Linked DNA regions of Caenorhabditis elegans. The protein of the gene in region 4 purifies or fractionates together with the protein of the main gene of each other region. This does not show direct contact. Each region holds a gene or a part of one and is shown on either strand. Other genes may lie near its edges.

Region 1 (7,253 bases), on a different chromosome or scaffold from region 4:
TCCAAAACGACCGATTATCATAATTAAACACTCCAAAAATTGTGTACATTCTTCAAAATTTCCAGTCAAAGTTTTGGCACGTTGCTAAAATTTTGGAAAATATGAGCTTTTGAGGAAATCCAAAACAATGTCGCATGTTCCGACCTCTACAGTGTTTTAATACGAATAATTAAAACAAAATTACAGTATAAAAAATGTTTAAAAAAAAAATTTTTTTTTGGTCGACTTCCAAATTTATGTGTGGCAAAAACTGTGTAATTGTCTTTTTTGAGACTAAATAATTCAAAAATTTGTTGAAAAGTTTTATTATGATTTTCGGTCATTTTGGCATTTGCTGTCAAACACTTGTCTCGTTAGCGAGAGGGTCCTTCAAATAATATTTTTCACGGCAAAAGGCAGTAGGCAGGCACGTAGGCATAAATGTGTGCCTTTTTATGATATTGTAAAAGATAATATGAAACAAAAAAATCCGGTACAGCGCAGAAGGGCAACGCCTCGACCAGATGGTTTTCAAAAAATGTAGTGGGTGTGCCTAGTGCAAAAGCAACAAAATAGAAGTGGAGTGCACAAAGTTGTCTTATCAATAATGACAAAAATGGTGTTGGGGGAATTTTACAATGTTTGCCAGGAATTGATAACAAAAACGGAGTTGAAATCAGTAGATCAATTTTAATGAACTACCCTAGAACATTTGAAACAGCTGGGAGGCACTCAAAAATTGATGGAATATAAAGTGGAGGTTTCCAAGTTGAAAAAAACTAAATCCTAAAACCAACCAACTTGAAACAGCTGCAAAATGGTTCAACTGTTTCCCCCCTTACCCTCACACACTCCACTCCTCCCTCCACCAGAGAATATGGCGTGGCAGACAAGATTTCGCGCGAAACGGTCATAAATCAAATAGGGAAATTGAGATATGGAAAAGACGGAAGCGGTGAGACGCAGACACTGTGAGAATAAAGGATATGGTTTCGGTTATACGGTTTTGATTGGAATCTTCTGCACACAGAGATGTCCGTGCTTTACTTCAACTTTTTTTTGGTTCCTTAACTGCCGCCACCATTGTTGATAGTAGTAGTAGTAGTCATCTGATTTTATGAGTGGTAGTAAAAATAGTGAGGAGTGTGATGGATACAGTGAAATTTGGAGTACGGTTTTTTTTTATTGAAATACCTTTTGATAATACTGTGATGGAATTTTGTAGGAGCGCTGAGACTGACAAAGTTGATAATATCAAACTTGGTAAACAATTTTTTGTGCAGTCTTCAATGTTTATTGACTTTTGTGTTATATTCATTTAAAAAAAATCAATTTTTATGTTTTTAATACGCGTTCTGTCTGTAGGCATTTTCAACACAAGTTACGCCTGCCTTGTAGGCCTTGAGGTAGGTTTTTCGCCTATATGGGAAAGCTAGATTCAACTGATAGTTATGATTTAGGTCTAATTTTATATTTCTTAATGTAGCTATTCATTTGATCCAATTGTTTGATACCGCTTGTCTAGTGATAAAATGTAAAATTTTTCTTATAAAAATTGAAATTTCGTTTTCCAGTTTTCGCCTAATCTATGTAAACCTAGAGGTTAATCAAAAATAATTATTGTTTCCACAACATTTACACTTCAATTATGGTTGAATTGTGTGTAGATTACAGTGGTTCAAATTTGCAAAATACTCTAAATTACTAAAAAAAAAAGCCTACATTTTTTTTGGGTAACTTACCAAAATTTTAACTGAAAATTTTGAAAAATCTAATTATTAGAAATGTCTTAAAAACTATAATGATTCAAGACGATCTGATATCATATGAAAACACTAAGTTTTTAGATTTTTCATGCTTTCCGGTCAAAGTTTTGGCAAATTGCCAAAATTTTGAAAAATATGTGCTTTTAAGGAAATCCAGAATAATGTCGCATTTTCCGACCCCTACAATATTTTAATAAAAATAATTAAAACAAAACTACAGTGTAAAAAATGTAGAGAACATTTTTTTTGGTCGACTTCTAAAATTATGAGTGGCAAAAACTGATTAATTTTTGACATTAAATTTTAAAAATTCAATAAATGTTCAAAAAATATCCAACCGTTTTTTATGATATTCGGTCATTTTGACACCAGAAAAGTAGTTTTCTACATTTTCCCCCTAATGACAAAGTTTTGGCAAATTGTCAAATTTTCAACTACATAGAATTGAGCTTAATATGAAATTTGTAGCAATGCCGCAAGTTCAAAACTTTCAAATAATAATATGCAATGAATTAATAGAAAAGTTGGCCATTGTTCAGACTTTAGGCGACAAAATTAGCGCCACTTTTTGCCGCAAAATTAAAATTTTCAATTTTTTTTTTTTTTGAAAAATTGTACTTTTATATTTGGCACACTTCATAAAAGTCTTCAAACATTCCCATCTTTGATTCTGAATGTTTACCAAAGGAAATTGACATCAAAGTTTGCTCGTACGGTTTTCATACTATTCTGTACCTACAGTTTAAACTATCAGCCTGTAGTTCAGATGTCCAAACCAAAAGTCTAAACTTTTAAACTAGAATTCTTATCAACTTGAACTCTCGAACAGATCTGACTCCAACATGTCGCCAACAAAATTTTCTCAATCAACATTTTTACTATTCTGCACATGTGATCATTTTTATTTCCTTCCAAAAACCGATCTCCCTGATCGGGTATACTTCGTTTTTTGTTCAATCTGTTTTTCTGAACTCTACACTCAAAATTCCTAGTATTTTTGACATCTTTTCTCTCTATTTCTGACCTTCTTATCACATGATAACCACGTTGTTTCTTCTACGAGTGATATTAAGATACAGTATAGCGACGGAAAAGTTTATTGGAAGAAATATTAAAGAAATCTAGCAGAATTTAGTCAAGAGTCTTGAAAACCTCTTTTCCAGTGCATTTGTAGATGTACTGCTGCTCAACGGAGTGTGAGCCATGGGTGTTTGTAGCAGTCACTTTGTAAACTCCTTGGTCCTCTTGGGTAGGGTTCTGGAAACATTTTCTTTGTTATTAACTTATCTAGAATGCTCATTTCTGGAAATTCATATGAAAATATAGAGAAGTATTTGTACTTTTAGAAGATAGCGTTATTTTAGTGAAGATTATGAAAAAGTGATCAAAATTGGCATTTGATTTAAAATGTGCCAAGTGAGTATGCCGATGGGTGTTACGGCATTGAGGCAATTTTTTAGCAACTTTTTGAAATTTTTAATATAAAGTAATTTTATTTTCAAAAAGTATGAATATTCCCATTGCCTAATTTTCATCATCAAGCTTCATTTTTGAGCTGAATTTCAAAAAAATTGTATGTGAATTATGCTGATGATCGATGGTGAATCTACCCAGTTATGGTGCATCTGACAAGTTATGGTACATTTGACCAGTTACGGTGAATCTAACCAGTTATGGTGCATTTAACTAGTTATGGTACATTTGACCAGTTACGGTGCATCTAACTTGATATGGTGCATCGACGGTGAATCTAGCCAGTTATGGTGCATATTTATTTTTGTTGGAAAATTTTAAAAAATCAAAAATAGTGCATGAAAGTTGACGTTTGCCAAAAAAGTGCCGTTAAAAGTGTTTAGACAAACGACAACTTTCAGACACTATTTGAACTTTTTTTTCAAACTTTTCAAAAAAATTTGTATTTTTTCCAGATAGAACAAACCTTTCTCTACGTTTCTATGTTAATTTTGCATGAAAAAAGTTGGATTATCATTTTGAAATAAACATTATTGTGGGTTTGCCGAAAAAATACCGCACAGCCCTTAAATATATGTTCGATTCCGATAAATGAAAAAAAAAACTTTCCGAAATTGTATAGCCTATTTTCAATTTTTGTTCCTGCCGGAGACCATCCCAAACTTTCCAGGAACGGTTTTTAAAAGAATGGCCGACATTTTCTAGGTCAATAAATTGTTTCTGAAGTTTTTTACTTTAAAATAAATGTGAAACAAAATCTCGAGGCAAGTGTTTCGAAGGTCAATATTACACCATGTTCTTACAATTTAAGTTTCCCTCTAAAAACCAGATCAAGTGTTCTATCCGTTCCTTTCTTCTTATTCTCTTCTTAATCTAGAATCCCGATCAGTTTATCAGTATTACAAAAATCTTACTTACCTTGATATGCAGTGTAACTGTGAACTTGCCAACCATCTTCTTGATCTTTGACACGTAACGATCACCAGTCAGCTCTTTGTCTTTCAAAAACCTACAGTAGTTAAGGTTAGGGGTTCATAAACCAAAATCTTTTACCATTTAACTGTTGGTTGTGGATTCGCATTACAGATGCATTCGAACAGAACTGATCCGTCTGGAGCAATGATAAGCGATGGAGCTTTCTCGAAAAACGGAGCCAAAACCATTCTGAAACTAACCTTTTAGAACTAATAAGATGGCTGAACATATGTAATGAAAACGCTCGAAGAGCTTCTCACTGATCAATTCCGTCAGTAACAGGTGACGGAAGCTGAGAGATTTGAGGGGCAGAGATGGAGAGATGAGTAGGCGGAGGGAGATGAAAGAGCACTTTTTTCTGAAGCCAACATGTTTAATAATATTGAGAAAAATGTTGAGGGCATTGATTGATTTGTTGGTTCAAAGCAAGTCAATGAATTCGATACACGCGATGAACAGCAATTGAAATGGCATAGAATTAAAGTTTTGGTTAATAATTCACTTGATTCTATGAATTTTTTTAATTATTGTATTTTTCTGATTATTAACATATCAATTTCTTATTCTTATAGAGTATTTTATATTTTCAGTCATTGATAGGACTCCATACTTTCTGGACGCGAAAATTTCCAATTTTTTTTCCCAAAACTACCTTCTATGAAAAGTTATTTATTCATTGGAAATCTCGAATAAAATTATCATTTCAAACATTGAAAAATGTTTCAGCATTGAACGCAACAGTTTATTTTCTGTTTTTTTCTACTATAAAACTTTTGTAAAATCACTAAAAAACGAAGATGGATCCCACTTTAATATATTTATGAACTGAGTACTAAAAGAAAACAAAAATAATTGTATCCAAGTTTATTTGAATTTGTGAATGGTGATTTTGGTGCTTCTCTCCGGAGCTCTGCCTACACAGTGCGGCATCGGATACACTTCATCTAACCTCTCTACCGGTGTATTTTCGGCTCGCAAAAACAGTTCAGAACTAGTAATATTAATAAGAATTGGCATTCGAAGATACTTGGCGGCCCATATCGCATCTTTCAGTTCCTCTCGATCCAATGATTTAACATAGTCAACTTCCCACGTAGAAGTGCTCGGAACTTCGACTCGATGACGGATGCACCAGGTGACAACCATCTTCATGGTAATTCCTTTGACGTTCGGAACTGGTATCACATAGTTGGAAGCTTTTCCCTGTTGGACTTGGCTTGCCATCTGGGAGAGGATCTCCGATTGATTCGGTGGACATTTCGAAATAGTGATCGTCGAAAGTTTTGAGTCTATAGAGCTCTTTTGATGACATGATGTACCTGGAAATTTGAATTGTGAAACAGGAGGGGTTTATTAGGCTCCGCCCATATAATGGTTGTGGTGAGAAGTTTGGAGGAAGGTACGGAAAAAGATATCACAAAGACAAGGGGCAAAACATTTTTTTGAACTACTCTGGGCATTCTAATTTGCTAGAAAGAAATGCAACTCTGGGGAAAATATAATAAAAAACACATTTTTCTAGGTTTCAAAAAACATTTTTTTAAACTTTCAGTGAAACAAAATCGTTTCAAAATCGACTATACATATGCTTGTAACCCGGGGGGAGCAATACATAAATTTCGAAAAAAGTGAAAACTTCAATCAGAATCGAGCTGTCTGATGGAATGTAAATTATGGGTGTTTCAAAAAGAGCACGGAGACGTGGTCGTTGTGGAAACCTAATGCTACATGTAATTATAAAAGACACAAGAGGACTTGAGCCCGCTGAGTTGAAAAGAATATAGACGTTAACTTGAAGTGAATGAGATCAGAAGATACCTGTCGCTTTGCTGGAAATTTTTGCAAAATTGTACGGAATCAGAGAATTGTTTTTTTTTAATATTTGTCACCGCATTTATACCTTCCAGTTTTGAGATTTTTCGTGGGAATTTTTGCAGAAAATCGCAAAAAAGTTTCATGGAAAAATCTTTCAAAAAACCAACAATTCAGAACCTCAAATAATCAAAATATTCTGAAAATTCTGAAAGCCGAAAATCGCCAAAAATTATTTCAGTATCTAAAAACAACTAACAATTCAAAACCTCTGATATTCATTATATTCTGAAAATTCAAAAAACTACAGTTTCAGAAGTATTTAAATTTTCTAGAAATTTGAAAATTCCGAAAAAAACAACATTCAAGAAATAGTTCTGAAATTCTAAAAATTTTGGATTAAAAATTTTGAAATTTCCAGAAACATAAACTTTCAGTTCTTTTTTTTTTGAAATTTCAGAAATTAATTTTTTTACAAATTGAATGTAATATTTTTGCAACTTTTATATTTTTCAGAATTTTTTGAACATCAAAGTTTCAGAAGCAACACGGAACCTGGTTTCGACACGAACAATGTTTCAAATGCTCGAGAATAAGCTCAAGCTTGAGTTTGAGCCTGAACCTAAGCCTAAGCCTAAGCCTTAGCTCAAGCCTGACCCTAACCTATGTCTTAGCCCAAGCCTAAACTTCAATGCAAAATTAGAAATATATAAATAATTTATTTATTTTTTGGAATCATTATATTTTCGAGTATCTTCTTCTTGATCACTGATGCAGCATTCCTGGAACCTTACTGAGCGCAGACTTTGGCAAATGAATCTGTTGACCATTGTCCCAGGCAACAATGCAGCAGTTTTCGCCCATCAACTGCAATTCAACAATCTCATTCTCTATTCAGCTCCTGGCCACCACCGCCAATAAAATATTTATTACTTGCCATATCCCCCCAATCTATGTAAAACGTCATAATCCTCGTACCTGGGTGACTTCTCCCGTCATATTATACATGTGATGTCGCATCGGTTCCCACGCAGTGTAGTTGATGTCGAAAAGGTAGGAGCATTTTGGATCTTGGAATTCTTCACATGCTATGCAACGGGCAAGGGTGTGGTTGTTTCTGGAAAATCAGAGACTTAATGCTTTACGGAAGTTTGGAAGTGTCTTGAAATTTTGATTTGCAGATCTATTTATCTTGAAGAAGACCTACCTACCTGCCTACCTACCTATCATAAATAAACGGAAGTGACA
Region 2 (8,346 bases), on a different chromosome or scaffold from region 4:
CACACAAATAATGCAATTCGTTATTTTCTAGAGTATGTTTTCATGGCAACTGAATAGATGAGAAATTGAATTGAAAATGCAATTGGATTAGTTTGCAACTCTAGTTTACTGCCAGAAGATGCGAAGAGTGGGCCAAAACTATGGTAACTTTCTGTTGAAACTTTTTTATACTTTGAAGTCAACGATATTTTTTTCAGTTTAATTGTGAGGTTGACTATTTACTTTTTCAGGAATTTTGAACAATGAAAAAATGGGGTTTCTCCTGTTTTCAGAGAATTGAGTGTTTCATTGTGAATAAAATCCATAAAATTGCTCCCGTTAGTTATTTTATTAATTGCCATATACATTTTATGGAACAATATACTTTGAAATCATGAAAGACCAAAAATTGAAGCAAAAGCAAGCAGAGGTCCACAATCAATGGTCCATAATGAAAAATGGATCTTGCAACAGATTTGATGAAAGGATTTTGTGAACAACTTTCTTGAAAACGTAACAACGTTGAAATGACGAATGAAAAACTTGTTTTGTTTTTTTTCAGAACCAAGTCTCCAAGTTTTTCTGAACGTTACGCAACTTTGATATCATAAAACCTGCAACGATCTGTGAAAAAACCAACATTTGGGAGTTTCTTCTTTTGTACTGAACACACTTTTAACAGTGAATCGAAATAGTTTATTGACTTATAATCAGTTTTTGGTACAGTTCTCAAATTCCATAACACACTTCGGTTGCACATGAACAGCAAAAATGATCGGAACTTGGACTGTTGTGTTCTGAAAATTAGAGTGGCCTCAAAAGTTTATTTTTTCATTTCAGGAGTAGACTATATATCTGAATCTCGAATTAACTTTAATAGATGTGGATTTACATAGTGTTAAATGATACTTTTTAATTTTAAAGAAGTACCCATATTTTTCATTTTCAGTCCATCATAACACTTATCGTAAAATGTAGATCAAATGCAGAATTCAATTAAATCGTAATGTTTTGTCCTCGAATATACTCTTGTTGAGAAGTCAAAATCCAACTAATAACCTTTTACCTCTAAGCTTCTCTTTCTAGTTTCCGCCGGCGTCAACCACATTTTCACCGAGTGATCTGCATCCATCACATCCGTATTTGGAAGATGACCTCCATTAAATTGAATTTCAAACGATTTCTGAAATACACGCTCATAACTTTCACCAGAATAAAACTCAAATACAGTCTCTCCTGGCTCCATTATGCCAACCGGCGGATTCACTTTGAGCAATGGTCCGAAACTAGTCTCCCAACCAAACTTCATTCGTTTTTGAAAACGATTTGCTACTTCCAAAAACATCGTTTGATCGCGAGTATCATCTTCGAATATTATCTGTTACAAAACGAAACATTGAAAGAAAAATATAAATTGTTTATACCATTTGTTGATCACCTTGCGAAAGTGTTGTCATGATGATAGGTTTTGAAAAGAATTAATAAAAAGCATTTATTGTTGTCGTGGAATAATTTTTAAAAAATTCAAAATCCTAATTATGAACGTGAGATTTTTAAAAGTTAGTAAACCGGTTTTAATCTTTTATCCCTGCGATAATCGAACTGACTGACAGAATCAGACATGTGCTCAGCTTGACGGCTTGTTGAGGTTCTGAAAAATAAAGCAGTAGGTGAGATGAATAAAAAATTATTCTTCAATTTGAAACCAATACCTAAAAAAACTTGGCTTACCTCATTGAATAATTTGCACGAGAATCACTATATTGTGTTGATTGAAGTTCATATTTTTCTGGCAATCGTACATCTTTCCGACCATTTGCATTTTTAGAATTTCGATCTGCTCCTGGTTCTCGATGTTCAACTATCCGAAGATGGCCAAGTTCAACGTATCTAAAATTTTGTTTTCACGGCCTTCCAATATGAAAATAAAAACCTGTTAGCATTTCCAATATGTGCATAATTTGATGCATGAATTCCAAAAAATAAAAGAACTCCAAGAATGATGAGAACACATCCAACCCATCCGATGACATACCAAGAGAATGCTGTGGAGGTAAGTGCACAGAATTGTTGCACATCTCCACCGCACATTCGAAGATTCTGAAATAATTCATTTGTTGACTTTAATTTTCTCAAAATGATAAAGTTGTTGTTCATAAACTTTAGGAAGAATACTCAAAAAAATCCCAAATTTTAACATTTCTCCAATTCAACCTACATATGTAAATGTGGAACTTATTAAATTGCTTTCTTTTGAGAATCCTAAAACTTAATACTCACCGAGTTGGCAAAGGACGAAACTAATGGCCAGAAAACATGAAGATCTATACAGTCACCATCTGTATATCCTGGAAGATTCATGCAGAGCCGATCGAAGAAATAATAAAATATACAAAGCCAAGATACAATTGAAATAATGAATAGCCATGCAATTATCTGAAAGTTAGTTTTAAAATTATACGTTTACTGAGCAATTCTTACTAGAAAGAAATCGATCAACATTGCGATGACGCATGCAAATTTTCCACCACAGCGAGCTTCATCGTCTGAAAATATTGTACATAAGTTCTCCTAGATCATTGTCATTTTGAACCTTTATACATAGTTTCTCTTGTTCCTCCAGTTGCAGTAAATCCGATGCATAAGAAGAAAAGTGAGAATAGTCCCATTAAAACTGCGATTACAATAAAGAAAACTTGAACCTTGTCAAGCCATGGCCAATCATTTATTTTCAGAGATCTTCTGACTTGCTCTGCAGTTGCATTAAATGCCCAGGACATCATAATTGCAAAGAGAATAACTCCAAGAATGCATAATAATGATCCAATAAGTGATGCATATGGTATTCGATGAAAACAGTCATCTTCTTCTGCGTCCGCATTCAAATGAACGACGGCGGCGTTCTGCGAACGTCTTTGCGCCGCCTCTTTCGTTGATCTTGACACTATTTTGACAGTTTGAAAAATATTATTTCAGATGAAAAATAAGAAACAAATGTAGCCGTGGAATAATTGTAATAAGCAAGTGCAAGCGGGCACCGGGGCAACAAAAAGGTATGTATGAGTGTGTTTGTTTGTATTGCGATCGAAATTGGAAACGGACGCGGAAAGGTGAGATAGTGGGTTGGGAACAAATTTAAATATTGAGACGCAGACAGCTCGCCACGGATGGTCAGTTTTAGCGGAGGAAAGCAGAAAGAGGAGAAGATGATGGTGAGTCATGTTTGCATGATCTTCGATGAGAATGTCGCAAGGTGCCATTTGAAAGTTGGAACAACTCATGTATGACGCAATTTTACATTTCCTCTGGGTGACTTGTGGTGTTATTTTCAATTTATTGAATCAGTAGGAAACACACACATTTTAAAATGAATGTGCATGCAATTGTGATGTACGATGAGCTGCAATCATGAACATCTGGGAAAAAGAGTTGAAGAATACAAAGGAGTCTGCTGCCGTTTCATTGAACACTTTTCAGCGGCACCTGCCAACCGGATATACATTGAGAATTTTTTTGAAAGTGGAAATATGAATATATACAGGTTACTGTTTTCTGAGAAATGGTTAAATTTTGTTAAAATTATATTCAGGAGTTCTTTTTTTCAAAGAACTTCTTAACTTTTTCATATATGGTGACATGGGTTTATCTATCACACAGCCTGAACGCGGTCTTCACAATTGATTTTTTGAGCATTTTTAGGTGGCATTAACTGTAGATGACCTCGTTTTCATCACCTCTCGCAAGCCCTTTTGAGTTTGAGAAAAGCTTATTGAGACTTATGTACTAATATCAAATATTATTCGCAGTAGAATTTGAGCGCTAAATAAATGAGTTGGTGTTTGTGCTCAGTTTACTTCACAATTTGCAAAAACGAAATACATATAAACACAGACTACACAAACTTGTTTGTCCCCTTTTTTACCAATTTGCTCGCCCTCTTATCTATGTCCTACGGTGTAAATTGGAAAACAGACTATCTTATCATTCTGAAAAACGATTTAACTTTAACATACATGTTACCTCATTTTTCTGCAGCGTTCTTCTTGAAAATGGCACGGTTTTTCCTTTTTTTGGCGTTTGTGGAAGTTAATTCTATTATTTCACCTCCTAATGAAATTATCGAAACATCTGTGGAAGTATTCAATCAGTGGAAAGAAACTAGAAATGCGTTTATGGATTCAATGGGTTAGTTTATTAATCGTTCCATCTAACCCTTCAAGTTCCGTGTTACAGAGTACCCAATGGGCTTTCCAAACTTCAATTGTCCCCAACCTCATCGAAAATCTTCCGAATCTGTACATCAGCTTCATCCATCACAAATTGGAGTGATAGCAGCACTAGGCGATTCTGTGTCAGTTGCACAAGCGGCGAAATCATCGTCAATTCTCGATTTATTTGATCAGTTTCCTGGTGTTTCGTTTGTAACAGGAGATGATGTAAAGCTGAATGAGCAAGCCACCTTTATTAGTAATAATTCGTTTTGACTTTCACTTACTTGCAACAGAAGCTTTTCAGATATTTTCCGTAAATTTGCACCGCGAATAAAAGGAGGATCCTCTGATTTTGTTCAAAAGTTTTACGACTTTAACATGGCGATTCCTGGCTCATTCAGCTCGGAGCTTCCCGAACAAGCGCTCAAATTAGCAAGTACATTGAAGAAAAAGCTGGGTAGAGAAACATCTGATACATGGAAATTCGTTAATATTTTCATCGGTCATAATGACTTGTGTAACATTTGCAATAATGAGGTAAAATAACCATTTCACATCGGAGCTAATTTTCATTTCCATTAAAAAATATTTCAGACTACCTTCGGGCCTGAAACATTTGGAAAGTCACTTCACTCGGCACTTACAATAATTCAAACAAATGTTCCAAAGGTATTCGTTAACATAATGCCACCAATAAATGTCAAAATTCACTCACAAGCTCACAAGTTGAGTAAGTTCTGCGAGTTTTCACATAGGTTTGTTTTTCAAAATTAAAAAAAAAATTAAACATATAATTACAGAAAAACATGCTCGTGTATTTTTGAATTAAATGAAAAAGAATATCAAAACATCAAGAAACAATTCGATGAACAATTGAATGAAGTTGTAGAACAATTCAATCAAAAATATGGAAATTCATCTACATTTGCTGTTGTGATTGCTCCAGCCATGGATCTAAAATCAATTCCGTTACTTAAAAACCAGCCGAATATTGGACTATTGGCACTCGATTGCTTCCATCTTTCTCCAATTGCTCATGATATTGCTGCGAAACAAATTTGGAAAGGATTGTTCGAACCAATTGATCAAAAAACAATCACTAATCAATTATCAGTTGGATTCGATAGATTCGTGTGTCCTCCTGTTGAATGTCCGTACCTAAGAACGATTCAAAACTCTGAAAACTGTGAGCCATCAAGAGAAATGAGATTTCTCCGAGTTCCTTCAGCTTTTGCAAGCTCTCCTGGTTTAAGCATGCCTCCATACATGATTCCTGTATTTTTCCTTTTTGGTGAGTTTGGTCTGGGAAAAAATACGTTGCTTATTTTTTTGTGAGGCGGCTTAGATTAAAAGCAGCTGCTATAATAATCAATAAAACCACTTTTCAAATATTTTCATTGGGAGAAAGTTTCCGTTTTCGCTTTTTCAGAGATAAGAGATATAAAATAAAGGGGCACCAATAAACATATTTTCTCAAAAACGCTAGACGCTAATTGCCTGCCCTCAAGGCACCTACGCCTGCGTCTTGTGTACTACCAAATTTGAACTTTTTCACTTTTGAAGATTATGTAAACATACTATAAGAAAAACGGTTTAAAAATATATCAAAAATACTCTGCACGGTGAAAAAATCTAACACCTGAGTTCAAGCTAAAGTTCAAGAAAAAAGGCATAGATGTAGGCAGGTAGATATTCTGTCACTTATGACTAAAAATATGTCTTAGCATTATTCAACTTTTTATATAAACCGAAAATATTTTGTTCCTAGGTACCGCTCTAATACTCCTATTTGTTCGTGCTTCCATCCGCAGTTCTACGACGTCTTCCGAGTTTTCCGATGAACGACATCATCTACTTCTTCCGCTGCGTGCCGACCTCAATGACAACATTTTCTAAATGGTTTCTAAAATGTACTCATGCCACTTGATGAGACAGTTGCGTGAACGATGAGAACGTCTAGATTTCCACTTTTTATAACAACTACCAGCACCCTTCTTACTCTTCCTAATGATGTCACACCTATGCGGGTTTTATTTCGAATGGCGTAATGCATTCTATCTCACTACATCCATTAATGTTGCCTACTGTATTTATTGTTTTGTGTAGACTACATATCAGTCCCTAGTGTAGTATCATAATGAAATGGCAAAGAGGAAATAAATGGAAGTGTGTCTGTATGTACATATATATCTCCAAAAAGCGATTCATTCAGAAAGAGACAGAATCGAAATTGAGAGAATGAAGAGGAGAAGGAAACCCGATTGTGATTACGTAACCGAGTTTCTTTCAGAATCAATCATAGTGGACAGAGGTGATAAGATAAATTGAGGTAAAAAGATCCGATGGACATGAGAACCAGAGATTTATTATTACGTCATCTAAAGTTCAAAATGGCTTTAAGAAGTTAGGATACTCGATCATAAAATGTTCTTATTAGGTGACACACATTTAGAATAATGAGTCCGATCATATATAGTCAGATATTCTCTTAGTTTTCCTCATGTTTCCATCAACTTTAGTGAAATTTTCCGAAGAAATCAAATCTGAGCCCCTGAAATTTCCATCAGAAACTGTTTCAGTACATTTTTTGCTGAATTCGGTATTGTTAGATTTTATTTTTTTAAATCTTTACAGATCATTTTTCCAAATAGTATGAGATTGTTTTTCTGGAACTCCAAATATTCAATCCTCAGGCTATGCATAGATTTCTAGGTTTGCTAGAGTTGATTGAGAAGTTGCGGCGAATTGTCGAGATTTCAGACCAATTATTAATTTTTCATTCAATACCGAAAAGTCTACGCAGCTTTTCAGTTTTTCTAGAAATTACAAGATCCATTGTTGTGGACTTGTATGTTCATCTAAAAAGACAATGTCAGCCACAGTCGGTCCATTCTATATATCCAATTTATCTACTAAAGGAACTCGTTTTTTTATTTATCTTTTGCTTTTCTTTTTTGCTTCGTCCTTTTTCAAAAGGCTTTTCCTTTCCTGTGGCGGCGGCGGCGGGCGGCCAAAACATCTGTGGCGTCGTGCCCTCGTCGATTGCGCAATGCTTCATCTTCATATCCTCTCAGCTTTTTCTTCATCTTCTGGAGACGGGTTTAGCGGTGTCGCGCCGTTTCGTCACGTTGTGTCGTCAGGGTGTCATGACTCGAGAGAGAAAATGAAAGAGGAAGGCATGTAATTGTTTGTGATGGGATATGCAATTGCCAATCAAAAAGGTTAGCGCCTTGAAAGTGAAAGATGTCTCACCGGAATAACCGCTTCATCTATGTATTCCGTTTATTCAAACTATTTCAAACAAAACAATTGCGAAGGTCATGACCATCAAACTCTTCATCATTGTAATTCAATTGAAATTAAGAAAATTGAAACGAAACTCCCAAACCACAATCAACTAGTAGTGTTCTTGGCAAGTGTGACCATAAAGATGTACAACACCTAGTATATTCTTAATTAACAATCACGGCATCTTTCCCCTTGTCTTTCAAAGCAGCTTCACACCAGTCTCTGTGTCGCCTAGATTATACTAGAAATTACACATTTTGCCCACGCACCGTTACAGAGAGAGAGGCCCGTCGACCTTTTCCAGTGTTCCTCTCCCTCCGCCTTCTCTCTTCCAAAATCTTCTTCACCAGCTTCTCCCGCTCCACGTCTTGGCCACGCCCCATTCGGCTTTAGTTAGCAGTGCTGGGCTGCCCACTAAGATCCGGTCTTGCTAGTCTATACCTTCTTACCTTTCCATTTTCTCTCTATCTACCATTATTATGATCTACCGATTTGTGGCAACTGTTGCCATATTGGCAGCCAACGGTGAGCTCTAAGTTCTATTATAGGTTAATGTAGAAAGTTTAGTTTCAACCCATAGTTTCAGTTATCCACTGAAAACACGAATATATTGCATTTCTAGTACCACTACCATTTTCAAAATTTGAAAATTATATATTGTCTTTCTGTTCCGCACCCCATCACTCAAACTTGAAAGTTTTTTTTCCGTTAGACTTGAAAATATCCGTAATCTTTCTAGAATGAAACTAGAATAACAGATAATGAATTTATGTCAGTTGACAGATTTAAAAAATTCTGATATAGCTGCCACATGGTGCAAGACTCATAGTTAAATACGGTAGCATATTTCCCAAAAACATTACCATCA
Region 3 (6,732 bases), 5.9 Mb from region 4:
AAATAAAAAGATCTTTCTGCTTGGCTTCCACTACATACATTACCACTATCCTTTGGTTGAGTACAATCAAAGCTGAATACAGGAACAAGAAGTACACAGACTAACAGGTGGAATCGCATTTCTGTAGATAAATGGGTTAAATGTTTTTTTTTTTTTAAATTAAATTTTTAAAAGAAAATCCTGATAAAACTGTGGTATCAGTGTTTAGAGAGAAATGGGAAAAATCGCAGAGTTTATAAATGGGGAGAGTACAATGGAACAGTTGAAGTCCAAACATCTGGGTGCTCTCTCGAACTTTTTGAAAATGCCAAAAAACAAATTTGCAAAGATGAACAAGACACACCTAATCTTTTATATTTTCTAATTTTCCACCTACTCTCTATAAATAATCAATGTCAATATTTACTAGATTTTGACAAAAGAAATTCAAAAAATTCGGGTGCAAAAGTCAACAGGAAGAGAAATCAAAAATAGAGAAAGGTAGTGATAGTTCAAAACGCTTGCTTGCATATGGAAAATCAAGTGAAAGTGTATCTTTTCAATTGGAAAGTCTGAAGACAGCAAGTGTTTTAATACAGGAACACATGTGTACATGCCATAACAGTTTGTTTTAAAAGTTATGAACTTGTAGTTTAAAAATTCGTAGAACTTCTCCAATTAACACGTACACTACTAGAATTTTCATTTTTATTTCGTACACAAATGAAACTCTTGAAGGAGACCGATGGAAAGGTCAAGTTGGTACTTGTCAAACAATGACAGAAGTGTGAAGTGCTGAAAATCGAATTAAGTTCGAGACTATCTCGATCATATGATCAAATGAGAAAGAATCGATGAAATTCAAAATTTATTCAGGTCACAGCTGGAAGTAATGGTTTTAGTACAATTCACAGACATTACACGTAGTGATTAATGATAATTTTAAAACGTCAAGAGTTAAACACATTTGATATCATTTCCTGCGAGCGTATTTTTCACGAATACGGCGTTCTCGTTCAGCTGGAGTCTCAGGTACCGCTTGCTCGTGATAGTTCTGTCCCCGTTTATTGACTACAACATCCTCTTCATGATCTGATGAATCTTCCACGTAGTATCCAGTTCGATTGTTTCTAGCTGTCGTTTTTCCAGCTGCTTCTGACGGATAATAGCTAATACTTTGACCCTTTTGATAGAGTGAGTGACATGGTTGATCCGGTTCGTAGGTACGGTATGAGTCAGGAGCTAGAAAAGGTTTTTTTGAATAGTGAAGAGACTTCTCATTTTTGACTTTTAATTCAAATTTTTCAACTGATTTGAGGATTTCATCTTAAAATCATTTCGTAGTATAAAGTGTTTTCACTACGAATGGTTATCAACTTTCAAACATTTTTAATGAATTATTTGATACATTTTGGAATGCGTGAATTATTATATTTATACAATTCTAGCGGACGAATTCTGTGTTTGAATATTGAAAAATTAAATTACCACGATTATCACGTCTCTCATTTGTCCACTGTCTAGAATCAATAGAAGCGAGTCCGTTGTCATATCGAATACTTCGTTCTACCGTAAGTGTTTCTCTCATCAAAGCAGGATTCACACCAGATCCGTATCTAACTTCAGACATTGGTGGTGGTGGAGAATATGCAGCTCTGTTAGCATCACATTCAGCCTGAAAACAAACTATTTCTATCGGATTTAAATACACTACTCACGTCTGCTAGAACATTATCAATTTGTTGGCGAAACATTGGGTCCGAGCGAAGGCGTTGCTCAATAATTGTTAATGCTTCTGGAGGTATAACACCGTCTCTTTTGATAACTTCTCGTGCCGAAGCGATCTTAAAACGGAGTACTTTTTGATTTATTTTTTATCTGAATTCTCACTTTACTAGCTGGCTTCTGCTGTCTTGATTGACGAGGACTCTCATGAAAATTTTCTTTGTCTTTTTCAACTGGTTCGATCGCTTGCTGTTTAGGAATCGTTATCTCTGAAAAATTATTATTTATTGAATTTATGGGATAATATATATTCAAACATACTCTGAAAGAAGTTTGACATCAATTCTTGCATTTTAACAAGATTTTGAGCATTGAGCTCTTCTTGTCGCCGGGCCGTTTCTTCTTGAATCTCTGTTCGTATCGTTTGCAGTTCTGTTTTCATAGCGTCCCGCCAGTTTTCAGCTGCCTGTTCTTCAGTCGTTGTCGTATTTTGGGCAGACATTGTTGAAGCAAGCACTTTTTTTGAATTCCGAGATGTTCCCTGAAAGATAATTTAGTGGAATTATGCCATGGAACAATTTTAATTTAATTACCTCGACAGTTTGGGAAACGTTAACTGTTTTTCCAAACGCAACTGTTTTTTGGCGAAGCGCTGGATGCGAAGGTGGCTCTTTTCTTGGTTTCGGAGCCGAAAGACACGATTTTTTCTTGGCTACTTCTACAGCGGCGACAATTGGCTGCGTAGATGGTACTGGGGGTTTTGTCCTTTCTTGTGGAAGCTGAAGAACTTCTTGAAAGGCAGGGACTTCAGAATCTTCGAAGACTCTCGGTTGATCCACAAACTCCTGGACTAAATTGGCAATTTTAACACTTTTATATCGAAAACAACTCACCAGTTGGTTTTTTGAAGTAAATAGAGCAGGGTAAGTCGTCGTAATTATTCATTCCCGCTTAATGCGAGGTCATTTCTGTTAAAACTATGAAATTGGAAAATAAAACGTTTTTTCTTTAAAATTGGCGCGTTGGTGTCGCGGGGGCGTGGCCTCTGCTGCAACCCCCGCGCACATTTTTTGCAAGATGAGCGCGCACATTGTATATTTTCTCACATTTCTTTTCGCATGACCATTCGGGGACGAAAGAAGATTGTAATTAAATTAAATGATATTATTATAAAACAACAGAATTTTCTACTTTCTCATATTATCTGCAATTTAGAAGAATGTTCCTGATCAGTTGAACAAATTTAGATTGACAGATTTTCAAACAAAAAATCTTCTCAACCTACACAATTTTCCAATGTATTAAAAGTATTAAAAAACAAGTAAACACTCCCGACTGGTTTTCTAAAAATTCCGAGAAAATTTTTCCTCTGTACACAGATAGACAGCGAGACACAGAAAAAGTGTCTCAAAATAAATCAGCGTGGTAAAAAAGTCAGTGCGAAGGAGCCAACAGTATATGTACATTATACACACAATGTTTGCTCCGTGGGGTCAGATCAAAACTGGAATTTGGATTTGACTGTTGGTGGTGTTGCACGGTAGCAAGAGCTTACACGATTGCCAGTACAATAGTTTAAAGGGGCGGGAATCTCGATGGCCTATTTAAAAGAAATCCAGAACTCGAGTACAACATTTTCACGTGGCAAAACTAAAATGGCACTTAGATTGGCTGTGGTGAGTTTTAAAATCCTTTTAATTATGAGGTTTGAAACTTAGTTAAATTAAAAACTACTAAATCCAGAAATAGATCTACTTTAGATCTACATACGACTTTCAGTTAATTTAAATGTAATTATTATTTAGATTCTCTCCCTATTGTCTTTCACTGCGGCTCAATCGACTTCTGTTGACTGTTTTGCTGCACGGGACTCTGGAAATACTTGCGCTGAGAACAGTTCTTCTAGAATGTTCTATTATCTTCCAAGACTTGGAACGTGTCAACCATTCATGTATCAGGGATGTGGTGGTAATAGTAACCGGTTCAGTAGTGCACAAGAGTGTAGATCAGCTTGTACCAATGCTCAAGCTCAAAGAGACTCGGAGTCAAGTGATGAAACCGTTCAAATGAAGTGTAAGTGAGGTTAGCTAGTAACTATGGCAATTATTCTAAAAATTTTAAGCTGCTTGCTCTGCTACCTATGACACTGACCACTTGACACCAGTGAGATGCTCAGCAGGAGCTAATACTTGCCCACAGGGTCATAACTGTATTCAATCATTCTGTTGTCCAACATCCAGTAAGCATCAAATGTTTAAATGTTTTATTCTTAAATTTCAAATTCACAGACTATCTTTGCAACTTGACATATGACTCTGGAAAGTTTGCTGTCGGAGGAGAGAAAAGTGACAAATACTTCTGGGTTCCAAAATACACAACTTGCATGCGTTTCTCATTCTATGGAACTCTCGGAAATGCCAACAACTTCCCCAACTACAACTCATGTATGGCAACCTGTGGAAATCAAACAAGAACTTCCCAATAAGACGATATTTGAATTCCTGGAATTATCTGTATTATGAAAAACAAGTTATTTTTAAGAGTTGGCATTTTTGTAGTTTTTTTTCGGGTAATTTTCAAAGTATGATTTAACTGTATTATCATCCACTCATAAACAATTTTTATCTCATTTCTTTTAAATATTTTTTATATAATCTAAAAAATAATTTTGAATGTGATGCAAAAATAATAATTTATATACATTAAGGCAACGTTTTTCCTTTTGGGAACTACAAAACTTCAGTTATATTTATCCTGTAATTTGTCTCCATGTCAAGAGTATGGTTTTCAATCAAAGTACAACCAGGTTCGTTTATTATTCAGCCCTAGTTTAAAGTAAAATCTATCACTAAAAATAATACCCCATTTTCTCTAATAGTATTGCGACCCACACCTATAATATCAAACTCACATCTATAACCAGTAAAAAATTTTACAGAAAAATATCTATAGAAATACTTCCTTTTTTCTCTTTATCTGAACCTCGTTTGCAAACTCAACACGGAAGTAACTAGAACCAATTGCATCCATTTTGACATACTCTAAACAACAAAAAACACCGTTTCACAACAATTTTTTATCTTTCTGTCCAATCCTTCCACTTCCTGAATGAAACAGAAACAATCATCAAATCCAAAGATAACAAGAACACATTAGATCAATTGAACATTTTGCAAGCAATCGGAACAAATGTTTTTATAATTGTGGGGGATCATGCTGTAACTGAGCTTTGTGGTATAATAATCCATACATTTCTGTCACGTTTTTTAAACTGACAAGAAAAAGGTTTTTAGTTTTTTTTTTAAACGAGATATGTGTCATTTGAAAGTGTTCCATAAGGATATGTCACTGCAAATTTTTAAGCGGCAAAGCTCCACTCTCAACCCCTCTAGCATCAGTCTGAAACTGTTCCAGTGCATTTTTTCACTACTTTGGAGGCCTGTAGAATTGCTCCAAAATTTTTTTTTGCAAACTTTCAATGTTTTTCAGAACGTTTACAAGTAGGCAAACAATCTGGGAGATTTTTGAAAAATTTTAATTTTTTTGAAAAAAATCTGAAAACTCGGACCGAGTGGTGAGAAATGTAGTCACACGGCCGGAACAATGAATTTCTTACAATTAGCAGAAAAGTAGATGTAGGTTGCTTTCCGGACGAGCTACGCCTGCTTCGGTGACAGGTCCCTGGAAGGTGCCTACTTTTTAAATGCAAATAGTACTTCAAAAACAGTAAAAATATTTTTTCAACTTAAAAAATTATTGTAAAAGCGTATCAATTACTCAGGTTACAATTCACTAGAAAAATGGATTTTAAGAAGTCTATTCGGAGCTAACTGAAACTAAATGTTGTGTATTGAGCGAGTGACAAGGAGAGAAGAAGTTTATTACAAGAGAGTGTAAGAAGTAATGAATTATAAAGAGAGGTCGCTTAGGCGATAAGTTCATGATGACCCAAAGGTCACGTCTGTATAAAGTTCAGGTTTACGTTCCGTCCACAACATCTCCCCTCTTATATGACAAAAAGCCAGAAATTATGCCTGGGCTAGGGGCATCACGACCAGAGGCGGTATATCGACCTCTGCGGCGAGTGGAGGCATGATCAGTGTTTGGGGCTGATCCTCGCACAACTTGTCGTGGGTGGCTCTGTCGAAGAGAATGACTAAGGAGAATACCGGGTTGGAAACGCTCGCCGTCACTCGCAACATCGGATTCCAGCAGGGGGTCCAGATGGGTTTCTTTTATTGGCGAACTTCCAGCAGTATCCTGATCGCCACTGTTGTGTATTGAGCGAGTGACAAGGAGAGAAGAAGTTTATTACAAGAGAGTGTAAGAAGTAATGAATTATAAAGAGAGGTCGCTTACGCGATAAGTTCATGATGACCCAAAGGTCACGTCTGTATAAAGTTCAGGTTTACGTTCCGTCCACAACATCTCCCCTCTTATATGACAAAAAGCCAGAAATTATGCCTGGGCTAGGGGCATCACGACCAGAGGCGGTATATCGACCTCTGCGGCGAGTGGAGGCATGATCAGTGTTTGGGGCTGATCCTCGCACAACTTGTCGTGGGTGGCTCTGTCGAAGAGAATGACTAAGGAGAATACCGGGTTGGAAACGCTCGCCGTCACTCGCAACATCGGATTCCAGCAGGGGGTCCAGATGGGTTTCTTTTATTGGCGAACTTCCAGCAGTATCCTGATCGCCACTGTTGTGTATTGAGCGAGTGACAAGGAGAGAAGAAGTTTATTACAAGAGAGTGTAAGAAGTAATGAATTATAAAGAGAGGTCGCTTACGCGATAAGTTCATGATGACCCAAAGGTCACGTCTGTATAAAGTTCAGGTTTACGTTCCGTCCACAACACTAAAATTTTTGAGACGAATATCATTAAATCTTCATTGAATTAGTGAAATGAATATTCCTTTTTCGTTTTTTTTTAAGTTTTTTTACATCGATCAGCAACATCAGGTCAAATTTTAATGTTGATCTATCCCAACCCACTTTTGTGATGCCATTGTGAGTCAGAACTCTAAT
Region 4 (9,849 bases):
ATTGATAAAGTGCTCATCATTCGATGTTTGATATTCATGAGAACAATACAAAGGTACAGGTTCAGAGCACAATCACGTTTTCATTTTTTTTTTCTTATCAAGCTGGCAGACAATAGGCGGCAGACTAATCCCAGGACGGGGGAGCACAATTAATGGATTAGCATTTGGGGAGATACGTGACATATTTGGTGACGATTCAAAAATCGCTGGAGGTAGATATTTGATGTTTTTGGAACGATAATGAAACTTGAAATGCATACGGCGACTGATTGGGTTTCTTTCATTTCAGATCGGGGTTTCTTAATACAGGAAAAATATAGAAAACAATTTGAGATAAACAATTCTGATAAGATATTTAATATATCAAACTTTGCGGGGCCTGATCAAATCTGATCATAGACTAAAAATTAAAAAGACTCAGATTTTCTTTTCAAAGGGGAAATAAATATTAATTTTCAGAACAATCTTTCAAAAAAAGTAACTCAACATTTGACTGAAAAACAAACAGTGCTACTGGTGGAACTACATTTTCAGAGAATTTTTGGCAGATGTAATATTTTGTTTTTTAGGATGGTTAGCGGTAGGTAAACATTTTCGAAGCTTTTTGATTTTCATTTATTTCTTTGTTCGACGAAAAAAGTTTGTTTGATCTGGTTGATTGAAAAATATTTCAGTTTCTTTTCAACAATTAAAATTTTCCAAACAGCTTTCAAAATTTTTACCTACCCATAAACAACCTAAAAATGTCAAAATTGCGTTTAAAAAAGCTCTTGGAGCAAATCTACAGGCGCCAAAAAGTGAAAAATGCACTGAAATTCAGATAGGCAATTGTTGAAGTGAAGTTCAAATGGGGCTTGTTTAGTTATATGGGTTAAATTGAAACGTTTCCTTGTTAGAGAATTTTTGAATAGTTGCAATTCATTTTGAAACATCGATTTTTTTGGGTATGTAAAATTTTCATTTAAAAAAAACTACACATTTTTGTGATTTTTGAAATCAAAAATCAAGCAGTGGTTTAAAACACATATTTTTGCAAAATATTAACGATTCCAGATATTCCAAACTTTGGCAACAAGTTGTAGGTCACATGTCAAGTAAACAAAATTCTGATATCATTGTTGCATATGTTTTTCTATTCATATCAATATGACATGCGCACCTGAATATCCGAACATTTCAACTGAACTTTGAGACTTTCTCTCTCAAGTGCTTTGAGAAATGACGCAACGGAAGTTTTCATTCTAAATTATCGAATCTTCACGAGGCAGGGAGGAGACGCCTGTTTTTGAATGTGGAACATCCTTTCTAAATTAGGACGTGTCGTCGGAAGTGCTCGATAATCAGACGACGACGACGAAAAGCAGGAAATTAAAAAATTACTATCGGTCAGCTGAGAGGGCGGTTTAGGGCACGAATTTGAAAGATCAACAGGATACACTGATGTTTCTTAGAATGTGAAAGAGATCAATGAAATGCTCTGAAATTCAATAGAGGGACTTAAAAGACGGTTTGAAAAGAGACTGAGAATTTAGAAAGAAAAAACAACAATTGGTGGGAACCTTTTTTGAACTTCTCATAAATTATAGATAATTGTTTTTGTTCTCCGAAACATTTTTTCTTTAAAGAAAAAAAAACTAAAATCTTTGGGTGAATGTTTGATTTTGATCAGTGATCATAGCAAATTGGAAAACCAAACAATTAAATTATATTTGGTGTTTCTTTTTTCCCCGATTTCTGAGCCGATCCCAGGAAAAATATAATTGGAAAAATAAATATGTGAAACCTATATTTACACATTATTATTGTTTCTTTTGTTGCATTAAATTTGTGAGCTGCCCCCTTCCTGCAATCACATGTCGCCGGATATTCCATATTCAATTTCCGATGGGCTATAGGAGTTCGAAAATCAGAAATTCGAGCCCACGCTCCTCAATTTTAATGTCAAATAGACGAGTTGGCTCCGGAAATGTTCTAAGGTTTTTGAACCTAGTCGCTGGAAATTTTGAACAAGGTTCGGGGAAGAAAACAATAAATTTTGATAAAATGGTCCAAACTAACTGAACTAACTAAACTGAACTGTTTTTGCCAAGTTGGACAAAATTTCAAAAAACGGCAATCTCCAACTTTGTTGTTTGCAGCTCACTCTTGAGTTATAATGTTTTGCGGACAATTTGACACTTTTTTAAGAAATTGAAACAACTCCTATTTTTTTCTCAAGTTTTACAAATGTCTAATAAGGTATTAATTTAAAAAAAAAACTACTAAGGTTTGAAAATCTTAATGAAGAACTTTTTCCAGGGCTTTCCTCAGACCGTCAGATTCAAAGAATTCATAAATAATTGAGGAATTTCTTTCAATAAATAAAACGAATTGTAAATATATACAAATGACGTAAACGGTGCATATAAAATGGGAATAAAAAGATGGATGGATGTGTGTGTGTGTGTTGAGAAACGTAAATTTAATTATCACCGGACCACGCTGTAAGACGGACACCAAAAGAAAGAAATTGGGAATGGCTCTTCTCTTTTCTTCTAAATATAAATTGTAGCAGGAGTTGAAGCAAGATGTTGAAGGAAATAGAGCAAAATTAAAAAGTTCTTGTGTTTGGGTGTACCAGAGAAGATGACCAGTTCAATTGCTTGAATTAAAGTTTCAGGGTCGAAGGTTACTGAACGTCAGGCGGCTCTGCTCAAACATCAGAGTATAAACTTGTTTCTTGGAATAAATACGTGCACAAATATTTTCCAATTTTTTTCTAGGTAAATTTGTGGATCAACAATTCACAAGCAGTCCTTTCTAGACATGACCATCATTTAGAATATCCACGTTTGGGAACTTCGATAAGTGGATAGTGTTCAAAAAAGTGGAGTAATGCCTAGTCTGCGAAGTTTTGGCTTATGAAAAGATATTGGTTCAGAGTTAGTGGGGAGATACGGCTGGGGGTACTGAGTAGTACTGTAGAAGTACTGTATGGTTGCTGTAGGATTACTGTAGTTTGGGCAAAATTGAGTTTTTGTCTTTTTAAGGAATTTTGGGATTGTATGTTGGTGGGGGATAATGAAAGCGCTTAAAATTTGATACCAGTCCCCGAAGACACACAAAAAGTTTATTTTAGGTCAGATATTAATTTTTGAAATTATGAAAACTAAATAAATCTCCCAATAAAAAATGCGGTCGTTTATATGCCTCAAGGTCAGTTTTTTTTATTGAACTGGAAGCTTCTGGCTTCAGAAAAATTTTGTAATTAAATTCTGAAAGCGCTTAAAATTTGAAAGAAGTCCCCGAAGAAACATTTTTAAAAAAGTTAATTTTAAGTCAGATATTGATTTTTGAAATTATGAAAACTAAATAAATTACCCAATAAAAATGCGGTCATTTGTATACATGATGGTAAGTTTTCTTGATTGAACTGGAAGCTTCTGGCACCTAGAAAAATTTTGTAATTAATTTCTGAAAGCGCTTAAAAGTTTCCGCAAATTCTTGTTGATCTGCCAAAAAGTCAAGCTAGAGGTATCTAGATTCACTCTCGTTAATATTAAAGTATCAGTAATATTTTTGGAACAGTTGGTTTTTCGATCGAAACCAACAATAATACTGTTCCAATAATCAAAATCTTTTCATTTTTCAACACCACACTATACCCTTCCATATCTTTTTTGATTTGTATTCGACACTACATCGTACCCTACTTGTCTTATTTTCCTTATCAAATTGACCATTTTCTCTGCCATCGCCCGCACTCACGTTTTCTCAACACATTCCCGATTGGAGATCTTTTTTTTCTGAACTCAAAATTTTCAGAATGACCATCAAAGCGGTAATTTTTGACATGGGAGGAGTTATCCTCCCAGCACCAATGCACTATTGGAAATGTAAGTTTTCATGGAAAAATTATTTGAATTTTCAGATATGCCATTTTATTGCTAGGTTCTGTTAATCAAAATATTTGTTCAAGAATACAATAATTTGAAAAAAATTCTATCACTGAAATTTCAGCCATCGAAAAAACTCACAATCTTCGTGATGGTTCAGTGGTCGAAACAATCATCAGTAAAGATTTCTACCCACATTTCAAACTTTTTGAAACCGGACGGTTGACTTCGGAGGATCTCGATCCACTTTTCACTCATATTTACAATTTTCAGGTTTACAATTTTTTTTTTCTAAAACTGCATTTTTTTAAGCCTGAACCTTGATTTTCAGAATAATCGAGTTGGAGACATTTTGCCAATTTTTGTAGAGGTTAGCAGTCAAATCCAACACACTCCACTTCTCCCGGAGATGGTTGAGCTTATCAAGGTTTGATTTTCATTTTGGCATAACATGGTTCTCCAGACACATCTGTTCATTTCCAGTCTCTTCGTCTTGCCGGCTACCGTACCATCCTCATTACCAACAATTTTTATACGGATCGTGCTAGACTTTTGCCAACAGTTCCATCGCAAGTTGGACTTTTGTTTGATGATGTTCTCGAGTCTTGCCGTCTTGGTCTCCGTAAACCTGACACTAAAATTTATGAATTGGCGCTGGAAAGAAGCAAGGTAGCATTATCACATTTACAAATCTTTCAACTTTTTCGTTTAGCTTCACCCATCCGACTGTGTTTTCCTCGATGATCTGGGGTCAAATCTGAAATCCGCCAAAGAAATGGGAATCACTACAATTAAAGTTGTTAGCAGCCAGCAAGCAATTCATGATCTAGGAAATATTCTCAAGTTGAACTTCTCCTACCCACCGGAAACACGGGATTGCATTCCAAGTAATTAATTTTTATTTCTTTATATCTAACATAAATATTAGTTGCTTCTCTCTTTTTGGCTTTTTTCATAGTTTGCTCATCGTATTTAATTTTAGGAGAAGTTCTCCCAATTGAAAAGATCAATGAATTGATTACCAGAAGAACTGGGACTGATAACAAAGTTGAAACAATCCGCAAATTCCGTCATGGACAGTCAAACCCAACATATTACATCCGAACAGTAAGAGGGTCTCAGTATGTTCTTAGAAAGAAACCAAGTGGAAGTCTTCTACCAAAAGCTCATCAAGTGGATCGAGAGTTCAAAATAATGAATGCTCTTCAGGGACTTGTTCCTCTCCCGAAAACACTTTTGTACGATGAAACGTTAGTTTTGCCAACTTTAAAATTCTAAGCTACAATACATTATTTTTTTAGAACCCTTGACACTTCATTTTATCTTATGGAATATCAAAAAGGAAGAATATTCCTGAAACCATCACTTCCAGAATTGACTCCACCAGAAAGACGTCGTGTGTATGAAGAAGCACTGAAGACGTTAGCAACAATTCATTCGGTTGATTATGAAAAAGTTGGATTACAGGACTTTGGAAGAACAGGTATATTTTAACAATTACATATTATTTTTAGAAAATTCGATTTTTTTTTTCCAAAAATATCAATTAAAGAAGGAAAATTTCCGATTTTTCGTTTTTTAAGCAAAAATCTAAATTGGAAAATTTTTCGTTTTACACTTTTCAAAAAGACTTGAAAAACTGACACCTGTGCATTTTGAAAATTTGATTAAAAAAATACGTTCATTTTGATTAGCATTTCATCAAAATATTTTCAGATGGGTACATGGCCCGTAATCTGAAACGATGGTCAGACTCCTATCAAATGGCGAAAACTGAAGAAATTCAAGAAATGATAAAACTCGAAGCGTACCTAAAAGCAAATCTGCCAAAAAGTGGAAAATCGACTATAGTTCATGGGGATTTCCGTGTGGACAATTTGATTATCGAAGAGAATGAGATCAAAGTGAAAGGAGTTCTCGATTGGGAACTCTCAACAATTGGAGATCCGCTTTCAGATCTTGCAACATTTTTATTTGTATACTATGTTCCAAATAGAATGATACTTCTACCAGGGCTCGGAGATTACAGTGAATCTGATCTTCATAGAATGGGCATTCCAACCATCAAAGAGTGTTTGGAACTTTATGCAAAATACACAAACACGGAAGTTGTTGATCCAGAGCTATGGACTTACTACATGGCGTTTGTTATTTTCCGATTTGCAAGCATTATTCAAGGAGTTTATAAAAGATCTCAGTTGAAGAATGCATCTTCAACTGAAGCTTCTCAGTTGGGACCACTTGTTAGAAAGCTGGCTGCTGAAGGAATGCAAATGATTTCAAAAGTTCATGCATCAAAATCTTACGGTCAACTTACAATTATTCCATCAGGAATGTCTTTGAAAGCTCAAAAATATTACGAAATCGTTCGAGAAATTATACAAAATGATGTGATTCCGTTGGAACAAGAGCTCTTGGAGTATTATGAAGAAGGACCTCACAGATGGACAATTCCTCATCCGAAAATTGAAAAGCTGAAGGAGAAATCAAAATCATTGGGTGCATGGAACCTGTTCATTTCTGAACACATTGATCCTGAACAAAAATACGGAAAAGGCCTGACAAACGTAGAGTATGCACACATCTGTGAGCTTATGGGAAGAAGCATTTTTGCACCAGAAGTATTTAACTGTCAAGCTCCAGATACGGGAAATATGGAAGTTCTCATCAAGTATGGAAGTGAAGAACAAAAGAGCAAGTGGCTCACTCCATTATTGAACGGAGAGATTAAGAGTTGCTTTGCGATGACTGAGCCTGATGTCGCGAGTAGTGATGCCACAAATATCCAGGTAAGGCTTTGGAGCTTTTCAAGCAGGGTCGCGATCGGAAATTTCCGGCAATCGGCAACTTCGGCAATTCCCGGTTCTGGAAATTTTCGGCAATCGGCAATTTCGGCAATATTGCCGGTTTTAGAAATTTTCGGCAATCAGCAATTCTAGCAATTGCCGAAATTGCCAAAAATTCGATTGCCGAACGGCAATTACCGCGCACTCCGGTTTTCAAGTCAGCTTTCTGGCAAAAGGTGCCACCAGTAAGTTGCTAAGATTTTGCCAAGAGTTACCAAGATGTACAATCAGATGTACTTTTTTTGAAGTATGTAAAAGTAGCTACCAAATGTTAAATTATCAGCGTGGATTTCTTGCAAAAAAACTTGGCAACTTGATAAAGAAGGTTTAAAGATGCCTACATGTTGTTGCCACCGTAAAAATTCTAAATTATGCCAGCAAACTTCCAAAATATTTTATTTATTTTTACAGGGTTCCATCGTCCGTGTCGGCAATGAGTACATCATAAATGCCAGAAAATGGTTCATCTCGAATGCTTCACATCCAAAATGTCGAATCGCCATTTTTATGGGACAAGTTTCTGGGGCAAAGCGTTCAAGAAATTTGCAACAATCAATGATTTTAGTGCCAATGCAGACGGAGGGTGTTAAAATTATCAGAAACACTCATGTTTTTGGATCACAGGATGCTCCAGGAGGACATCCAGAGATCACATTCACAAATGTTCGTGTACCAGTTGGGAATATGCTTTTGGGAGAGGGAAAAGGTTTTGAAATCGCGCAGGGAAGACTTGGGCCAGGAAGAATTCATCATGCAATGAGACTTATTGGGCATGCGGAACGGGCAATTGATGTTATAAAAGATAGGTTATTGACAAGAATTGCATTTGGAAGGAAGCTGGTCCAATTTGACAGTTTACGAAAAGAATTGGCTCTTTCAAGATGTGAAGTTGAGCAAGCCAGATTATTAGTATTGAAAGCCGCCCATATGATTGATACAGTTGGACCAAAGGTTTGAACTGAAATATTTATTTTTTTCATTTAAATGTTTTCATTTTAGGAAGCAAAATCTGAAATCGCCATGATCAAAGTTGTTGCTCCAAACATGGCAATAAGCATCCTGGACAGAGCCATGCAGCAGCAAGGAGCTCGAGGACTTACTCCATTTACACCATTGGCTTCCTTTTATGTATGGGCAAGATCTCTTCGAATTGCTGATGGACCAGATGCTGTACACTTGGAGACTATTGCAAAGATTGAGATGAAATCGAGATTGTAAACCTTTGTTTGAATTTGTATTGAAATTGTTTTATAAAGTGTCGTTGTAGTTTTAACTTGTGAATAAATCAAACAAATTTCAATTTTGAAAACTTATTATTGACAAAAATAATTTACAAAGTTTCAATGTCTTATTCTTTCCCAGAAAAGAAAATATTTAGTTTCTTTAAAACAGCCCAATTTTCCTATTATTTTGCATGAAATTTTGCCGCCTTTTCAATTTTCATGTAACAGCTCAAAAAGTCTACATTGTTCAACAAAATACAAGCATGCTAGCCGGCAAATCAGAAAATTTGACCTTTCAAAATTGCCGAAATTGTCGAATTGATACACAGTTTTTATTTCCTAATCGTATATTGTATTTCAAGTGTAAATTTTTAAAATATCATTCTCAAAGTCTCAATATTTATCTTAAAATTTATTCATATTTACAATTCAATGCAATTCAACAATTGAAACTGTCATGTGGAAAATACAATTACTCGTAATAAATATTATAAACGAATGCAATTAATAATAAATTTGATTCGACTCCGGAACAAGAGCTCCAAGGCATGGTGCAACATAATCAGGAACCATATCATCTCTTTCGTTCATTTGATTTTCAATGATATCTTCAATTTGATGACATCCAGATAAAACTAACAAAGTCTTCATTCCGTGATCTCTTCCGAATTTGACATCTGTGTTGGTTCTGAAATAATTCAAAAATTAAATTTAAAAGTTGAATAGAAATTAGATTTACCTGTCTCCAATCATCATTGTTCTTGATGGATTGATATTCCATTTTCTTTTAATATAATTAAATGCTGGAGTACATGGTTTTCCAACAGTCAATGGATCTCTTCCAGATGCACATTTGATTGCTGCAACAATTGGTCCAGCATCAGGAATAACAACTTCTGGATTTGGTCCTGGACATGTTTCATCTTCATTTGTTGCAACAAACAGAACACCTTCTTCTCTTAAATAATTTGAAGCCTTCATCATTTTGACATAATCGAAATGTTTTTCGTATCCAACAACGACTGCTCCAACATTTTCTTCCAATTTAATATCATACATGAATGCACCAGATCCGTCGGCTTCATCTTGTTTCTTTTCTGGTCCATGTCCAAAATATTCAATGCCTAATTCATCCATTTCATCACGAAGTCCTTGTTCTCCTATCAAATAAACTCGTTTTCCATCTAATCCAGCTCTGTGCAAAGTATCAGCAACAACTGCAGCTGGATTCACCAAATTGTTCTTGTTCATTTTTGAAGAGTTGTATCCCAGTTTTGCAAGCTTCTTTGCATAAACTGCACGAGATTTGGTGGCATTATTGGTGAGCACAATGATTTGTTTGTTGTGTTTCACAAGATAATCGATCAGACGAGGAGATCCTGGCATCACTGATTCACCGAGCCACAGGACACCTGAAAGAATTTATAATTAAAAATTGAACTAGATATTCTAGAAAACTAACCATCAGCGTCAAAAATGAATGTGTCAATAGTCTTCATGACCTTAGCGAAGGTATCTGGACAGAGGGGTTTCGTGGAACGGCATTTTGGATCGAGTCCGGCTTCGATACACATTTTTTCCTGATTGAAAAATCATTCTAATGCTGAAATAAGTCAATAAAGTTTTCATTGGACTTCACAGTGCAAAATTCTCACTGTTTTGAAGAAATTTCAGTTCCAGTTGAAAACATTCATCCAAAACCAGGTAATGTGGTCATACTACTTTGAATTGGATTTATTCGAATATCAATGATATTTCAGTATCAAAAAAAATGAAAATTGAAATGTGTGCATTCAAATGTTTATAAACCTTTTCAAAGTTGACGGAATTGACTCAAAATTTGGGAGAAGACGTACTAAATTGTTTAAAAACAGTGTGTCGACTCAAGACAGGCTCCCTCGAAAA

The links.
Region 1: the proteins of acds-10 (region 4) and oig-2 fractionate together in Caenorhabditis elegans (co-fractionation; one large-scale study listed by BioGRID). This does not show direct contact.
Region 2: the proteins of acds-10 (region 4) and F13H8.11 fractionate together in Caenorhabditis elegans (co-fractionation; one large-scale study listed by BioGRID). This does not show direct contact.
Region 3: the proteins of acds-10 (region 4) and piit-1 fractionate together in Caenorhabditis elegans (co-fractionation; one large-scale study listed by BioGRID). This does not show direct contact.

What each region holds. Positions count from the first base shown.
Region 1 is NC_003280.10:13,003,783-13,011,035, forward strand, and holds oig-2 (Ig-like domain-containing protein), read right to left. Parts: upstream 4,383-7,253; 5' UTR 4,382-4,382; coding exon 4,272-4,381; intron 4,228-4,271; coding exon 4,137-4,227; intron 3,003-4,136; coding exon 2,877-3,002; 3' UTR 2,831-2,876; downstream 1-2,830. Other genes in the region: F18A11.5 (BTB domain-containing protein), read right to left, coding at 6,771-6,872, 6,984-7,122, 7,229-7,253.
Region 2 is NC_003280.10:6,255,638-6,263,983, reverse strand, and holds F13H8.11 (Lipase_GDSL domain-containing protein), read left to right. Parts: upstream 1-3,962; 5' UTR 3,963-4,028; coding exon 4,029-4,164; intron 4,165-4,212; coding exon 4,213-4,446; intron 4,447-4,494; coding exon 4,495-4,727; intron 4,728-4,784; coding exon 4,785-4,945; intron 4,946-4,990; coding exon 4,991-5,481; intron 5,482-5,958; coding exon 5,959-6,086; 3' UTR 6,087-6,371; downstream 6,372-8,346. Other genes in the region: F13H8.12 (MSP domain-containing protein), read right to left, coding at 690-776, 1,046-1,162, 1,208-1,357, 1,404-1,436; nmgp-1 (Neuronal Membrane GlycoProtein), read right to left, coding at 1,540-1,630, 1,711-1,869, 1,913-2,079, 2,260-2,415, 2,461-2,525, 2,573-2,762; dbd-5 (uncharacterized protein), read left to right, coding at 7,958-8,003.
Region 3 is NC_003283.11:11,606,696-11,613,427, reverse strand, and holds piit-1 (BPTI/Kunitz inhibitor domain-containing protein), read left to right. Parts: upstream 1-3,278; 5' UTR 3,279-3,359; coding exon 3,360-3,380; intron 3,381-3,509; coding exon 3,510-3,777; intron 3,778-3,826; coding exon 3,827-3,943; intron 3,944-3,992; coding exon 3,993-4,189; 3' UTR 4,190-4,332; downstream 4,333-6,732. Other genes in the region: tag-290 (BPTI/Kunitz inhibitor domain-containing protein), read right to left, coding at 1-119; sas-5 (Spindle assembly abnormal protein 5), read right to left, coding at 953-1,221, 1,468-1,654, 1,698-1,823, 1,870-1,973, 2,026-2,245, 2,298-2,554, 2,598-2,649.
Region 4 is NC_003283.11:5,744,015-5,753,863, forward strand, and holds acds-10 (Acyl-CoA dehydrogenase family member 11), read left to right. Parts: upstream 1-3,804; 5' UTR 3,805-3,805; coding exon 3,806-3,875; intron 3,876-3,999; coding exon 4,000-4,148; intron 4,149-4,206; coding exon 4,207-4,302; intron 4,303-4,358; coding exon 4,359-4,544; intron 4,545-4,587; coding exon 4,588-4,762; intron 4,763-4,857; coding exon 4,858-5,125; intron 5,126-5,176; coding exon 5,177-5,358; intron 5,359-5,591; coding exon 5,592-6,664; intron 6,665-7,132; coding exon 7,133-7,672; intron 7,673-7,720; coding exon 7,721-7,939; 3' UTR 7,940-8,019; downstream 8,020-9,849. Other genes in the region: pgph-1 (Phosphoglycolate phosphatase), read right to left, coding at 8,449-8,632, 8,684-9,356, 9,407-9,518.